3 linked regions of the Caenorhabditis elegans genome follow. The main gene of each other region encodes a partner of the protein of the gene in region 2 in a complex. Each region holds a gene or a part of one and is shown on either strand. Other genes may lie near its edges.

What was found. The genes of interacting proteins can lie anywhere in the genome.
Region 1: mdt-21 (region 2) and mdt-15 share a complex: the UniProt entries of both Caenorhabditis elegans proteins name them as parts of the mediator complex.
Region 3: mdt-21 (region 2) and mdt-1.2 share a complex: the UniProt entries of both Caenorhabditis elegans proteins name them as parts of the mediator complex.

Annotation. Positions count from the first base shown.
Region 1 is NC_003281.10:5,829,573-5,835,443, forward strand, and holds mdt-15 (Mediator of RNA polymerase II transcription subunit 15), read right to left. Parts: upstream 4,174-5,871; 5' UTR 4,086-4,173; intron 3,942-4,085; 5' UTR 3,905-3,941; coding exon of another isoform or gene 3,812-3,904; 5' UTR 3,766-3,811; coding exon 3,710-3,765; intron 3,487-3,709; coding exon 3,263-3,486; intron 3,213-3,262; coding exon 2,722-3,212; intron 2,650-2,721; coding exon 1,495-2,649; intron 1,145-1,494; coding exon 827-1,144; intron 749-826; coding exon 650-748; 3' UTR 553-649; downstream 1-552. Other genes in the region: R12B2.13 (uncharacterized protein), read right to left, coding at 3,812-3,904; R12B2.6 (uncharacterized protein), read right to left, coding at 4,450-4,581. UniProt on the Caenorhabditis elegans protein: Component of the Mediator complex, a coactivator involved in regulated gene transcription of nearly all RNA polymerase II-dependent genes.
Region 2 is NC_003281.10:11,775,642-11,780,628, forward strand, and holds mdt-21 (Mediator of RNA polymerase II transcription subunit 21), read left to right. Parts: upstream 1-1,979; 5' UTR 1,980-2,002; coding exon 2,003-2,191; intron 2,192-3,224; coding exon 3,225-3,428; 3' UTR 3,429-4,487; downstream 4,488-4,987. Other genes in the region: immp-1 (Peptidase S26 domain-containing protein), read left to right, coding at 714-944; C24H11.5 (Gem-associated protein 7), read left to right, coding at 4,594-4,677, 4,867-4,966. UniProt on the Caenorhabditis elegans protein: Component of the Mediator complex, a coactivator involved in the regulated transcription of nearly all RNA polymerase II-dependent genes.
Region 3 is NC_003284.9:17,149,972-17,155,199, reverse strand, and holds mdt-1.2 (Mediator of RNA polymerase II transcription subunit 1.2), read right to left. Parts: upstream 3,679-5,228; 5' UTR 3,678-3,678; coding exon 3,507-3,677; intron 3,445-3,506; coding exon 3,311-3,444; intron 2,607-3,310; coding exon 2,379-2,606; intron 2,315-2,378; coding exon 2,210-2,314; intron 2,167-2,209; coding exon 1,978-2,166; intron 1,931-1,977; coding exon 1,621-1,930; intron 1,332-1,620; coding exon 1,154-1,331; intron 1,108-1,153; coding exon 996-1,107; intron 869-995; coding exon 727-868; 3' UTR 553-726; downstream 1-552. UniProt on the Caenorhabditis elegans protein: Component of the Mediator complex, a coactivator involved in the regulated transcription of nearly all RNA polymerase II-dependent genes.

The DNA.
Region 1 (5,871 bases), 5.9 Mb from region 2:
AGAAGGGCAAGCTGATGATAGGAGGAGGAGGCAAAACAATCATTTATAGAGGACAACAACAACTGAATCCATTCCACGAAGACTCGATTTTCTTTTTTGTACAGGTTTTGTGCAACTGAGCAATTCAATTCAGACGAGGCGGAGTTTAGAACGGATTTGACCTGAAAATTAGAAAACATTGATTGAGAAGAAAACAGTTTGTTTAAAAAAAACTGTCTTCTAATTTTTTTAAAGGTTTGCGTTTTTAAAGAGTACTGTAATTTTAAAATCATGTTTCAAATCATATTAATTGTGTTTTCATTGTCAAATTCGGGTATTTTTTTTAGATTGACAGGTATATATTTTTTTAATCAAAAAACGATGAAAAAATAGAGTACTCTTTAAAGACGCACATATTTTCGCATTTGACCAACATTTTTCGTGTCGAGACCGGTTACCGTAATTTTGGTGAAAAATCGTAAACTTTCGCGTTTGAGTAATACTTTTTGTAAAGTTATTACAAAAATTAAAACTTTCCGGAATTTTTTCACTTCCAACTTTATTTTATAATGTTTTTCATATTTTTTATTATTTTACAAAAATAAACATTGAATAACAAAACTTTTAGTGAGCAGGCACAAAAAAAGAAACTTAATGCACTCTACCTAACTTACAAGTTAAGATTATCGTAGAAGAAATCGTTGCCCACGTTGAAAGCGACGTCTAGACCACCGCTTGTCTGGTTTTGGTATTGATTCACTTGTTCTTCCTGTAGAAAATTATAAATTTAAAATTCAATTTGAAGTGCAATTTTCATAAATTTCCCTTTCTCAGCGAAAGAACTTACCCAAGCATTCAAATAGTCAGTAATTGACGAAAGACCGGGTCGTGATAATCTCTCATATACTGAATTTTGTAGATCATCATACAAATATGCATCCAAATCAATGACTGCTCGATCTACAGTCACATTTCCAGCTGGATAAGTGGTTGGAACAACGAGTCGAAGTGGTGGGAACTGTTGATTACGGATTTTACAGACGACAATGATATGATTGGCATCATGACGTTGATGGTTTGGATCAATCTCGAATCGAGCATCAAGGATTTGAAGTTCCTTTCTTGCTGTTTCATTGAGATTTGATCGTTGAACTGGTGGACCAGCCTGAATATTTATTGATTGAGATTATTGATTGGCTGTTGATTTTTTTTTTGTAAAAATAGATTTTTTGGTAATCTTGTTGGTTTTTTCGGACCAAAAAAAGAAAAAAAAACTGAATTGCGAAAATGTTGATTTTTAGTCGGGAGAAGAAAAAATACGAAAATGTTTTGTTTTTGGTCTAAAATGTTTTTGGTGTCCCTGTTTGAGATCAGAGGTTTTTCGTTTTTCGATTTTTTTTTTCGTGTTTTCGGCGACACAATTATTTTTCACTTTTTTCAAAAATCATTTGAGGATACTTTGTGTGTTTTTTTTTTTTGAAAGCTGAGAAACTCAATTTTTAATATAAAACTTACATTCATCGAATTCTGCCCGACGTGCAATGTTGGCTGAAGTGCATCAATCGGCGTTGGGTTTGGAAGGAAATCATCATAGTTCAGATCATCAAGTCCTGACATTCCACCCATTGATCCAGGTGTTCCCATTTTTTGATTCGGTGTACCCATTGGATTCATTGAAGGGGCTCCAGAACTTGGACCTGACATACTTGATCCACTCATCGAATTACGATCTCTTCCAATTGGTCCAGGACCATTTGGCATTCTCATATTGTTTCTCATCGCTGCAGGATTCGGGTATGGAGCATGACGATGATTGTTGACTGGTGATGTCATCGGATCGTGTCCCATATCTCCACGATACATTCCATGAACTGGACCACCTCCACCCTGCATCATCATATGATCCTGTGGCATCATTCGTTGCTGCTGTTGGTGTTGCTGTTGATGCCACATTGGTGGTTGATGCATTTGCATATGTGGTGGTGGAGGTCCCATATACTGCTGATGTCCATAACCTGGATGTCCTCCGTAGGGATTTGGCACCTGACCATTACCCAACATAGCATGTTCACCGTTCATCATCGGATCGTTCATTCCCATATGATTCTGATTCTGTGACATTGGAGCAATATTCAAGAAGTCTTGCTTTCTGGCAATCCACATCTCCAAATGGTTCAAGTATTCAAGGCTAACCACACGTTTTCCTTCGAGCACACTGAGCATAACCTCAAGCTTGTGAGCAGCTTCATGGTTACCCTCATGTCTGCATTGCCTTGCTCGTGTTCTCAAACTGTCGCAGCTTCCACGCATATTTCTCAATTTCGCAGAATACACGGTTTGATCCTCGGAACTCATCATTCCCTGGTTTGGAACCATTCCGGGTCGTTGCTGTTGCTGCTGTTGTTGTTGTTGTTGCTGTTGTTGGGCAGCTGCACGTTGAGCAGCAACATTTCGATCTCCAGGTGGGCCCATCTGATTGTGATGTCCTGGATATTGTTGAGGCTGATTGATAAGTGATTCAAGAACTGATGAAGGACCGGTTGGAGTGGCTCCTTGACCGTTCATTGGTCTTCCAGGATATCCATGTGGTTGTTGTGGTGGCATTGCACCCCATTGTGGTTGTTGTTGATACATATGTGCTGAAGGATCCCAAGGACGAGCTTGATCCATCTGAAAAAAAAATTAATCAAAAATTGAAAAATTAGCAGATTAAAAAAAAATACATTTGAAAAATAAACTCACATCCTTTTTAATCTGCTGATTGTACGGATTTCCACCCATTGGAGCACCACTACCAGGTGGTCCATTCATCATACCGTAACCACCGTATCCATTCGGTGGTCCACCCATATTTGGAGCACCCATTTGCGGTGGTGGCTGACCCATTGCTGGTCCACCATTCATCTGGCTGCTTCCATTTGGGAATGGAACATTTGGTGCCGGCGTCGGACCTCCACCGGGTGCCTGTGATCCTGGAGTGATCTGTCCACCTGGACGAATACTTGTATCTGGTGATGGAAATGAAGCAACCGCGGCGGCAACAGCAGCAGTGGCAGAAGCTGATGGAGCAGGCAATCCTCCTGGCGGATTTGGTGCTGATGGAGTTGTTGATGCCTGTGTTGTTGCTACGGTAACAGGTGGATTTCTTGCCTGAGCTGATGTTGGTTGTGGATCTGGAGGCACAGGAGCTCGATATCCGGGTGTTCCGCCAGCCGGAGTGTTTCCTAATAGAGCTAATTGAAATTTTAGATTTTCGTTGCCACAAAAAACTACAAAAAGTTACCTGCTGTCGTACACGGCGGACTATGAAACTGTGATGGTTGTAACACGGAAGGCACTGCCGCTGATTTACTATTACAATTGATAGCATTAATCACTTTTGCGATCGTCCTCATATATTCGTCCTTCGACATACACTTTGCGAACACATATTCTTCGACCTGCCTCGCGTCACCGGGTACTGGTAAATTTGGGGCATTCTGCCGGTTTCTCGCCAACTCAGGCTCACTGAAAATTGGAAAATTTTTATATTTCGGGATTTTTTTTTCATTTTTAAAAAGAGTACAGCCTGGATACATTTGTGACATCAGCTCCTATGGTTTATAATTTACAAATACTTGGGAATTTATCAAAATTTTGAATGGAAATTTTTGGAAATTTTCAACAAAAAAAAAATTTTTTAAAATGTTTTCTCGGTTATCAAAAAAATATTCCTTTAAAAAAAGCTTACAGTCTCTGAATAACATGCTCTCGAAATTTCGGCGAAGGCCAATCCTCTTCGCTCATCTTTCTACTCTGCTCTTGTTTTTGAAATGTTGCTTTTGCAAGCGATTCAACAACCGTCGACGTCAACGTGGCGGCGGCTTTCTGAGCGTCTTGATTCACACACAATTATCGACAAGAAGGAAAATGAAGAACAAATCAAAACGACGAACGCGGCAAACGAAAAATAACGACGATTCCTGCAAAAGAAATAGAATAATGGATGGTTGAAAGTGGGGAAAAATTGTCACTTTTTGTATTATGGTGCATCGATCTATTGTGATTCAACTTTCAATTCACAAAAGATCAGGATGGAAATATCAAAAAGTTCCCCATTTTCTCACCTCTTGTTCTCGTCAATAGTCGACGAGCCGGCAAAATTTTCGGATCGCCGACGGCAAAATCACTTTTTGATTCGTTCCCCGGTTTGACCTGAAATTAGGAATTGAAAAAAATATTTAGCGATGTTGAACGAAGAAGAGATTAATAATAAAGGAATACGGATAAGGAGACGGATAAGGAGAAAAAAATAAACGGAGTTGAGAGAGATAAGATATCCCAAACGCTTGAAATTAAGAAAGAAAAACAAATAAAAATAGGCAATTATGAGATAGAGATATTCTGTAGGAGAAATGGACCAGAGAGATAAGATATTCAGAACGCTGAAAAACGTTAAATTTTTTAATGGAAGATATGTGGTGGTTAGTATTATTTGGAAGATTTGGTAAGTTTTAAAAAAACTGAAAAATGTTTGAAATTTTCAAACAAAAAGTTCACTTTCACATCAAGATGTGAATTGTCTAGGTTTGCTCCGTGCAGCATCATGTTCCGCGAGTCCATTCGGGCATAACGACGCAGGCAATTCAACGAGAACCTGGAAAATTTAAAAATTAAATGTTTTGTGTATAAAATTTTGTAAAGCAAGGGGACATACATTTCGCGTCAACGTAATTCTTCTAGTTTTTGACAAAAAAACGGCACCCGGTCTCGACACGACACTCTCTTGATGAATGTGAAAGGTGTGCGCCTTTAAAGAGTACTGTAACTCCAAACTTTAATCTCAGTCGAATTTTTAAAGATTTTTCATTGTTTTTCGATAAAAAAATATATTTATGAATTTATGGGAAAACTCAATGAAATGAAAATTTGAAATTACCGCAGTAATGAAAATTTGAAGTTACCGAACTCTTTAAAGACGCAGACCTTTCGCAGTTAACAACAATTTCTGTCGTGTCGAGACCGGGTACCGTATTTTCGGCGCAAAAATTGTAGAATTAATCACAACATTTTTTTGTTTTAAATTGCTCTAGAACGCTGAAATATGTTCTTATCTTATGGAACGTTTTACCGGTCTTATCATTCCCGAATAATTTTCATTTTCTTACAAAAAAAACGAATTCCGTTTTCCGCCTAACAAAAAATCCATTTTCGTCGCAGAGAGAAAACCAGCTCAAGTGCAAGAAATTAGGCAACCTTCCAGCACCACAACACATGTGTGAAGTGCCGGAGAGCGCGCGCGAAAAAAGACGAAAGGGAATTCGGTTAGCGCGCACTGGAAAGTAAACCAATTACACGTGTGTTGGAAGGTGTCCGTCCACAATTTTTACCTGCTTCAAGTCGAAATAGACGGCAGTATCGTCAGGTGTGAGGAATGTGATTGCTTTTCCATGTTTGCCAGCTCGACCTGAAATTTTGGAAAGAATTATCAGATGTTATCGAGAATTAAACTAGAAGTGTGGAAGATTTCAAATATTTAGCTTCAAAATTTAAGAAAAATGTGCACTTTTTTCAATTTTTAAAAGAAAAACTTCTGATTTCAAATTATGAGAGCACCAGTCAAGCTGGGAGCCTAAGATATCGTATTAGAACTTATGGGTCAAAATAAAAACACAAAAATACGACACTGCCAAGTGCAATAACAATGTGAAAAATCAACGCAAGAAGAAAAAGAAAACGAAAAGGGGGAGCAAATCATTTATCACCAAACGAGCGTGTCGACGAAGCAGCACCACCACGCGGTCGGTGAGCCAGATAGAGAGAGAGATAGAGAGAGAGGGAAAGAGCCCGAGCAACTGGCGACATTTTCTAACAGAGAGAGAGTTCGGTGCTGATTGCCTGAGCAAAGACGAA
Region 2 (4,987 bases):
AAATCTTTGAAAATTCCATTTTCAGCCATAATTTCAGAGGAAAAACCTGAAAAAAAAGCATAGAAATATCTGCAAAAAATGCATTTTTAGCCGAAAATCTCTTTAAAATACCCGATTTTTCATCAAAAAACTACCTAAAAAGTCGCAAAAAACGAGGATTTTTATGGAAAAAATCTGTAAAAAGCCAGAAAACGCAAAAAAAAGTCAATTTTCGTTCAAAAAACCCCAGATTTTTTTATTTAAAAAAAACACCTAAAAAGTCGCAAAAAACGAAGATTTTATGGTTTTTAACGCAAAAAAATCTTTTTTTTTTCGATTTTCTCGAATTTTCAGATGTTTCTTGCACTTTCAGTTGTTTCCAGCCAATTTTCATTTCAAAAATTCGATTTTTCCTAGAAAACCACCTAAAAAGTCGCAAAAAACGAGGATTTTCAGGTTTTTAACGCAAAAAATCCAATTTGCTCCGATTTTCCCGAGAAAAAAACCCTAAAATTTCAATTTTTGCAGGAAGGCGACCCAGTGTCATGTTTTTAGCCAATTTTCGTTTAAAAATCCGATTTTTCATCCAAAACCACCAAAAAAAGTCGAAAAAAAAATAATTTTTCCTTGAAAAATTCAATTTTTTCCGATTTTTTCAAATTTTCAGATGTTTTTAGCCAATTTAAATGCTATTTTTCATTAAAAAAAACCCATAAAATTTTCAATTTTTTCAGGAAGGCGATCCAGTAACCTCCCATTTGCTTCCATCTGGCAGAGTTCCAATTGGTCACGTATTCCTTCGCGGTGACAACGGCCCAGTTTCAACAGATTCCAGACATTTCGGCCCGGTACCTGAAGCCCTTGTTCAGATAAGGCTCAGCCTGAGAATATGGCCTCCAGAGAGAGCCGGATGGATTTCTGATCATTGGTTTTGGGATAAAAGTGATAGAAATGCAGAGAAATAGGCTTCTTTTTCAGTGTAATTATGTGCTTTTCCACCCTTTTTTCCTGGTTTTTGTCTCACTTTTTTTTTTGCCATAAAATACTATTTTTCCATGTTTTTCTACTTCCATTTTCTATTTTTTTAATGGGTTTTAACCCTATTTTTACCTGAAAAAAACACTTTTACAGCAAAAATTCCATGAAAACTATCAATTTGAAGCCAAAAATCCAATTTTTCATCAGAAAACTCTCTAAAAAGTCGCTAGAAAACTAGAATTTTTGGTTTTCAGCGCAAAAAAAATTCAATTTTTAATTGAAAATTAAAAAAAAAATTAATTTTACTCATTTTTTATTCATTTTTATCCGATTTTCAGAGCCTTTCGACCAACTTTTCATCAGAAAACTACCAAAAAAGTATCAGAAAGTATGGATTTTCAACGCAAAAAATTTAGATTTCCATGGTAAAAAGTTGAAAAAAAAAATCGATTTTCACTCCATTTTAATTCATTTTTATCCGATTTTCTCGAATTTTCAGAGTTTTAGCCAAGTTTCGTCTAAACAATTCAAACGTCTACTAGAAAACCTCCTAAAAAGTACCAAAAAACGCACAAAATCCGGTTTTTTATTAGAAAAATACCTTAAAAATCGCAGAAAATAAGGATTTTTTTTAGTTTTTCAACTCAAAAAAATCAATTTTTCTTGGTAAAAATTTGAAGAAAAAAAATAATTTTTATCCGATTTTCTCAAATATTCAAAGTTTTTTAGCCAATTATCTTCAAAAAATTCAAATTTCTACTAGTAAATTCCTAAAAAGTTCCAAAAAACGCATAAAATCCGGTTTTTTATCAGAAAAATACCTTAAAAATCGCAGAAAATAAGGATTTTTAGGTTTTCAACTCAAAAAAATCAATTTTTAATGGAAAAAATTTGAAAAAAAAAATGAATTTTCACTCCATTTTAATGCATTTTTATCTGATTTTCTCGAATTTTCAGAGGATTTCGACCAATTTTTATACGAAAATTCCAATTTTTTATTAAAAACTACATTTCAAGCTCATTTTCAGCCCAAAAACTCTTGAAAATGGCTGATCGAATGACCCAACTACAGGATATGATTAACGAAATGGCCGGATTAATGACAAATGCGATTGGAGTGCTCCAGGCGACTGCTCCGCCATGTGAATTTGGAGCAATTTCACAGGAGCTTGAGGATGAGCCAAATTGCGCGATTTTTGCCGCTGGAATTGCAAAAGCCGCTAAAAATATTGAGGTTTTCTATAGAATTGAGCATTTTTCGGCCAAATTTTCAGAAAATCCTAAGCAAAAAGCTTCAGAAAAGCTGTTTTTCTCGTTTTTCAAACTATTTTTAGCCTGTTTTAACTCAAAAAATTCCAGAAAATTCCAGGAAACCCTAATTTTTATTCAAAAAATTACAAAAAAATCCTCATTTTTACCCGACAAAAATTTAAAATTTGTATTTTTCTATTTTTTTTAACTGAAAATTAGATTTTTTTTTGAAATTTTTGTGAAAAGTGGATTTTTTTTTAATTTTGAGTTTTTTTTAGTTTTAAATTAAATTTTTTTCGGCTGAAAATGAGGATTTTTGTAATTTTTGAAAATTATTGTTTCCTGGAATATAAAATAGTTTGAAAAACGAGAAAAACTGCTTTTCTGAAGCTTTTTGCTTAGGATTTTCTGAAAATTTGGCTGAAAAAATTAATTTTACAATATTCAGCCAAAAAATTTCAGAAAAATTCAATTTTCGGGTGAAAATTTGAAAAAAATTGTGAAAATTCGATTTTCCGGGTGAAAAATGAAGAAAAATCGAAATTTTTCTTTAAAAAAATTCAAAAATCCACATTTTTAGCCGAAAAAAAAAATTAATTTAAAATTTAAAAAAACTCAAAATTAAAAAAAATCCACTTTCCACAAAAGTTTCAGTAAAATTAATTTTCAGCCAAAAAAGTACAGAAAAATCCAATTTTTATTGAAAATTTTAAGCAAATTCTCATTTTTGCCGAAAAAATCGTGATTTCTACCCAAAAAACAGCAAAAAAAATCCAATTTTCTGTCGAAAAATTCAATTTTCGGGTTAAAATTTGAAAAAAATTGTGAAAATTCGATTTTCCGGGTGAAAAATAGAACAAAATTAATAATTTTCTTGAAAAAAATCTCAAAAAAATCGAATTTTAGGTCGAAATTCTTTTGAAAATTCGATTTTCTGGGTGAAAAATGGCTAAAAATCGAAAAAATTCAATTTCCAGCTTAAAATTTCGGGAAAAAACCAATTAAATAATTTTCAGATCCTCATCGACTCATTCCCAATCGAAGCGGGCAACCAGGAAGCGGAAGTCGAGGAGAAAATGATAAAAAACGACGAAAAGCAGCGAGAAAAAGTGAATGAGCTCGTCGGACTCGTCGGCGACAGCAATCGGCTCGTCGGAGTTGTTCAGAAGAAGCTTGCCGAGATTTCAAAGACACAAATGAGCTCGAGACCCAGTGAATAATTATTATATTTTGCCGATTTTTGCCGATTTTTTATTGTAATTTTCATCATTTTTCCATTATTTTGGGCCGATTTTCTGGTAAATTGAGAAAAAAAAATCAATTTTCTAGTCCATTTCCTCTTGACAATTCTTTAAAATCCAGAAAAAATTGCCTAATTTGCTGTGAAAATTTCAATTTCATATCGATTTTCATGTTTTTTTTCCATGTTTTCAGCCGATTTCCATTTTTTTTTGTGATTTTTCCTTAATTTTTCGATTTTAAATCAACTTTTTTTCCATTTAAAATCGATTTTTCATCCCTTTTTGCCCCTGAAAATAGTTAAATTCTAATTAATTTTCCCCTATTTTTCTTGAAATTTTCGATTTTTCTCATTTAAAATCGATTTCCACCACTTTAAATAATTAGAAATTCCCAGAGAAAATTGATTTTCATAGCAAAAAATTATTTTGGGCCGATTTTCCCGGAAAATTGAGAATTCTAAATCAATTTTCTAGTCCATTTCCTCTTGAAAATTCCTTAAAATCCAGAAAAAATTTTGCCTAATTTTCCGTGAAAATTTCAATTTCATATAAACTTTCATGACTTTCTATTAAAATTGGGATTTTTCCCATTTAAAATCGATTTTTCAACCCTTTAAAATATGTCAATTTTAATTTATTTTCATTCATTTTTTCCCATTCAAAATTGATTTTCTACCCTTTTTTCTACTGAAAATTTGCTAAATTTGAAAAATTGTGGGTAATTTATCTTTTTTTTTTTAAATTTTTTTCCTCAAAAATAATCATTTTTAATTCAATTTTCCCCCATTTTTCTAGAAAGTTGCCAATTTTTCCCCATTGAAAATCGATTTCCACCACTTTAAATAATTAGAAATTCCCAGAGAAAATCGATTTTTTTTCAAATTTTTCCCTTGAAAATTCCAAAATTTCTTAAATTTCGAAAAACTGTGATCTCTTTTTCTTTTTATTTAATTTTTAACTGTTTTCTGTATTTTTGCCCATTTTTTACACTTTTCCCCCAGAATTTGGGTATTTTTAAATTTAAAATTTGATTTTTTTTTTAAATTTAATACTCCTCATTTTCCTATTCTATTGGCAAAAACCATGGTTTTTTATCTGAAATTCTCTTAAATCTAGCCTAAAACCCTAGCAAAACCACTTCCAGATGGCCCAGAGCACACAAGAAGCAGAAGGAGAGCAACAGAGGCGACAAGCTGTGCTCCGGGAGCGATATTTGAGCTTTTTGCAGGTGAAAATTGGACATTTCATCTACAAAACCTCTCAAAAAATCGATATTTTTGGTGAAAATCTGAAAAATTCAGCGAAAATTTTGAAAAAAGCCACCGATTTTCTCATTTTTCAAGTCTAAAAACTGAAAATTTTCCAAAAATCCCAATTTTTGTGCCATTTTTCCCCGAAAATTCTCGAAAAATTCCAGAAATCCGCCGACAAGCCAGCCACCATCGAAATGTGCGAACGAACTACGGTCACCGCCACAATTAAAGCATTTCAACCGTCTTCGGAGCACGTGATCGTCGGTACGGTGGCCGTGGCCTAGG
Region 3 (5,228 bases), on a different chromosome or scaffold from region 2:
AAAACTTTATAATGCTATCACCGTTTCTTTCCACAACAGTCTCCTGTCAAATTTGTAACATATACGTAATTATGGATATAGTTTCTGTCAATAATGAATTTGTCAAAAAATCAATTTTTTGGGTTTTCATGCTTAAACAGAGTTTGTAAATTATATTAATCCCAAATTACAAAATTATGCAATCGGATTTCTCAAAAATGTTTTAAAACTTTTTAAGAAAGGTCAAAATTTCAATGATCATTAAATGAACATTGATTTCCGGCCATGTGCCACATACAAACATAAATATTGAAGATTTTAGCTGAATTGAACAGTTTTTTTTTGAAATTTTGAACTGCAATGTAAAATATTTTAAAAACTTTGAAAAGTCTCATTATGAAATTTAGTTGTTTGGGTAAACTTTCGAGGTCTTTGGGCAACTAGAGCTACTTTTATATATTTTCAGCAAGCTTACAATTGACATAATTAAAGAAAATATTGCCCAGTTTGACTATTAAAGATATTTTTGACCCTAAGTAATCAACTTTCAGTATTCATGCAAAAAACCTCTAATCATTTTTTTCTGCTTTTCAGCTCTTTGAAAAATTCAGATGGCAAATTTTAAATAATACAAATGCATATAAAACTTAATTTCAAACATTCACAACAATCAAAATGAGTATCAAATAAGGCTCAAGTATATAATAAAACAAAAACTATACAAACACATCATAAGTCAAAAATCCGTTAGAAGGAACGTCCAGCCGCATAAGTTGGAATTGGGCCCACAGTCTCCGGGTTTTCACTTCTCAACGGAACTTTGATCTTTGCCAAGTTGCAGTCACTACCCGACACGGCGTAGGTAAGCATATTTGGAATGCTCCAAGTTCTGAAATTTTCAAATGTTTTCTCTAGGATGTTCTATGGACAAAGAGTTGGCACCAAAACTGCTATTGACATTCTCAGGAACTTTGCAACAAGTCCTGCGTTTGCGTTAGTGTACGGTTTCAACTTACTCATTGAGTTTTCTGCTCAATGTTTCATCAATCTTTTCAGCAATCTGGAGGCCTGTCTGTGCATGCACAACATTCACCTTTGCCTCACAAACTCCACTATCCTGGATTACAACTGCAAATTTACTTAATATTAAACACTTTATCTATCTAGAACTCACCTTTGACCGGCGCAAATTTTGTATCAAAGGTGATTACAATTTGCTCTCTTGTCAGAAAAACGTCCATCTTGATTGCGGCAACCGTGTGCTTTTTCATACCCTGCTTCTCATAACACGCGGATATCATCGACTCCCAAAGGCTGATATGCATGGCTTCGTTGCGAAGAATTGCAATTATCTGCAATTATAATTTATTTTTATCGAGTAGTGGAATATCTGACTACATATGTTAATGATGTCTTAAATAATATTTCTACTTCTAGTATTTGAACGGACTCACAAAGTTCAATAATTCCCTGTGGCAAAAAACCGAAAGTTGCAAAATGTGTGTCCATATTATGTAAAGCATGCATTAGCATGTATGCTTATTTTCTCAAAACAAAAAAGATACTCAAATGTTTATGTTTTTGCTAATTGAATCATGAAACTGGCGCTTTTAAAATACAATCTATGTTACTACTGCTTACCTCATGAAAATCTTGCAAATGCTTCAAATAAATCTCAGTGATCACAGAGTCACCATCATTGCGCAACTGGTTCACATCGACATTGTAGAAGTGTTGAGTTTGTCCATCGCCAAACTGTGTAATCATCTGCAGGTTGTTCTCAATCTTCACCGCTCCAGTCACGTAGCGATAGCTATTTGTGAAATGCTTAACGGATGGAGTCTTTGCACTGATTGCTCCCAACTTCTTTCTAGTCGTTTCAGTAAGATTGAACCCTCTGGATAGCTTCATACAAATCACAGCGTTTGCTTCAATAGATTCTGCCCAGCCTCTGGAAATTTACAATTTTCAATAATATTAAGATGTGAATGAACTCACTTTGTGTCAAACTCTGGAAGTGTACACGGGCTATCATGCTTGGCAAACGAAAATTCAAAGTATGGCAAAACTTCGTGATCATCCTTTTGTAACTGGAAAATATGATCCTTGGAGCGAATGTTCCGAAAGTGTGGTTCCGCCAAATAATATACACGCCCTGCGCGGAGATCATTACGTGGAAGGTAGAAACTAAAATTAAAATTTTTCATTAAAAAAATAATTATAAAGTTACCCATAGTTGGATCTGTGAATTGAAGTGTAGGAAGGGTCTTGAGAGAAGTGTCCAAAAAGCATCTCGAGCATTCTCATAGCTCCCATGCAGTTTCTACGATCGTCTCTGAAAAATGGGAGTGAGTTCTAGAAGCATTATTTTTTGCTTTGCTCAAAGTCAAACAACATACCTGCTCAACAACTTATCATACGTCAACAGCATATCTGAGATTCGGTTTCGAAGCTCTGTCCACATCCCTAACTGGAGCATTCTTGTAGCTTCTGGGGAGTAGAATGAAGGCTCTTCCCAAAAACTAAGCACAACGGTTGTCACTTCACCATCGTTGACAGTAAAGTCCATGATGAGATCTTCTTGACGATTGATGGACCATCCGCGAGAAGTTTGTTTGTGCAAGCATCTGGAAATAAAAGTGAGCTATGTATTTTAATAAATTTTGAGCGATTAGAAGTTATGGCTAGGCAAATTTCAAGTGGATAACGTTGGAATATGTATAAGTTTTGTCGGACTCCAACGTACCAGGTTTCTAATTTTTTTAAAAGGAAACTAGTCTATCGAGAAACAAATGTTGTGCAGTACTTTCATTTATTTGTGAAATGTAATAATGTGTAAAGATTTCAGAGAAATTGAGTAGGTGCTCACTTTCTTAATTTTGTATATTTAGTACGCGATTATTTTCTAGCAATTGGCAGTCGGTAAACTCTTCTAGTTTTTGACAGGTTTGCGTCTCAATCTTGGATACAAGTACAATATTTTTATTACAAACTAGGGTCCGATGTGGAACTGATTTTGGTTCTTCAAGAAAACATGAAACTTGACAGTGTTTCAGAAAATTTGAAGTATATGTGGGTCTACTCCTTTTTGATTTTTTTCTTTCTTGAAGCAACAGGTGCTACGAAAAATAGATTTCCAAGTTATTAATGCTCAATCGGCAAATGAATTCTACCTTAAGAGCACTCAAAAATTATACATTTTGATGCATGTGAAAAATAGGTGCAAGGAAATGCTCTATCATTTTTAGCAGTTAAATTCTAGGTTCCAAAAAAGCCAGGTTTTTATGGCAGTTTTCTAAATTTAACGCCATTTCTCTAACTGAAAACTTACCCAAGACTCTCAGCCATAACCCGTATCTTCTCCTCCATCAGATTGTTTTCCTCGATTGGCATTTTTGTTTTCATGTACGCAATCCCGTTGAGCACGTCAATTCTACCATCAGCATCGATTGTGTTACGTTTTTCCTGCAATTCATGCATTTTTCAAATTGTCTTTCACAATAAATAAGTTTAAAGAAAATAGTTACCAACAAGTTTCGCCTCACAGCCTGCCCGAATGATGTCCATTCCATTTTTGATGCGGCTTGCCGGACCTGTTCCAATCTCATTTCCTCGTCAATATGCTCAATGTTGAGCTCTTGATTCTTCCGCTGCTCCAACAGGTAAACTTTCGTTTTCGGTGATGGAGTGGAAACCATTCTAAAATCGAAATTTAATCGAGTTGAATACAAATTTACAAATAAGAGAGGAAAGTTAACAATAAAAAATAAATATAAACAAAAAGAAATAAAAAATAAGATGTCGTCTTCAAAGGGAAGTCCGCAAAATGCCGTGATGGTGTTTGCACACTGTCTGCACACTCCTTGGATACCTTATCTCTAGCTAATGCGTGTTTGAGAGAGCGGGAGAGGAACATGGGCAATGGAGGGGAGAAGGACACAGCCAAGACATTAGAAAAGTGGTGTCATAGAACATGGAAACGATGATGAACAATTACAATTGCTAATGGAAAAAAATAAGTATGGGAATTTCGAGAAGAAGAAGAACTTGTCAAAAAAAATTTTTTTTTGCTTTTCCATGCCAGTGTTTTTCTATATTTTCAGTTCAATCCTAGGGCGAATGACAATATTTTTTAGGACCTAATGTGAATCTGGACAAGTATTTGCGGTATAGTTTTTGTTTTTATTGGGGCTTGAAAATCGTTACTAAATTGTGAAAACATCTTGATGGAAACACTCCCAATGATAGCCCATTTTGAATATGACTAAGATATTTTGCCGAGAATACTTTTGAAAATAATTTTTTCATTACAAAAAAAGTAGTTTAAAAGTGTGTTGAAAACGGTTTTGCATTTTAAAAATCACTAAATGATACTGCCACTTAAAAAAATGATTTTACACACATTTATCTTCTTTTTGTATAATACATACATATTCTTAAACAAAATTTGATAAGTTTACAAACGGTCGTACTTTTGTCATTCTACACCCTTAAATTTTTAAAATTTTTCTTCAAATAAAAAATTTATACCGTGAGATTATGCATTATTTTTACTAGGTATTTTTCAATCATCAAAGACTCCTGGCAGTTTTTTAAACTTAATTTCAAGTTGCTTAATATCAAATTTTCCCCGTTTTTTTAAGTTTCATCTAATTTATAAACAAGCTTTATATATTTTCACAACATGCCATGTTTCGGTGGGATTCCCAATGCAATCTCACAACGTTATGAACATTTTTGCTGAAAATTTCAAAAATTTCGAGAATTTTTCCACAAATCGTTCACAATTCAACAAAAAATCTGCTGATCTAAAATTTTCCCAAAACGAATATAGCATGTATCACAAATCTTTCAATGTTCTTTCATCTCTTTGTTGAACCATCTGACGAACAGGTGCTCGAACACTGTTGCGCTTTTTTCGCCTCAACAGATGTTGGACCTTCGAGGAATTGCACAACGGTGCTCTGTGTTCTCCCTCAATTTTCTGGTGGTGTAGCCGTTGTGTGCATTGACTGCGCAGCCAGACCCACCAGTTTCCTCGTCGTCGTCGTCTCTGTTTCAAGTCCAATTTATAGGGCGGGCAGGCGGCTGTGCTGCTGGTTTCGTTGTCTCGCCGTCTTCCATTCTTCGTCTCGACTGGTTGGTATTAGGTCGAATGTTTTTTTTTTTGGATTTTACAAGTTCTCTCTCATCCAATTCTTTCTTCACTCTCATATTTCAATTGGCCACTTCATTTTCGATGTTTGCAC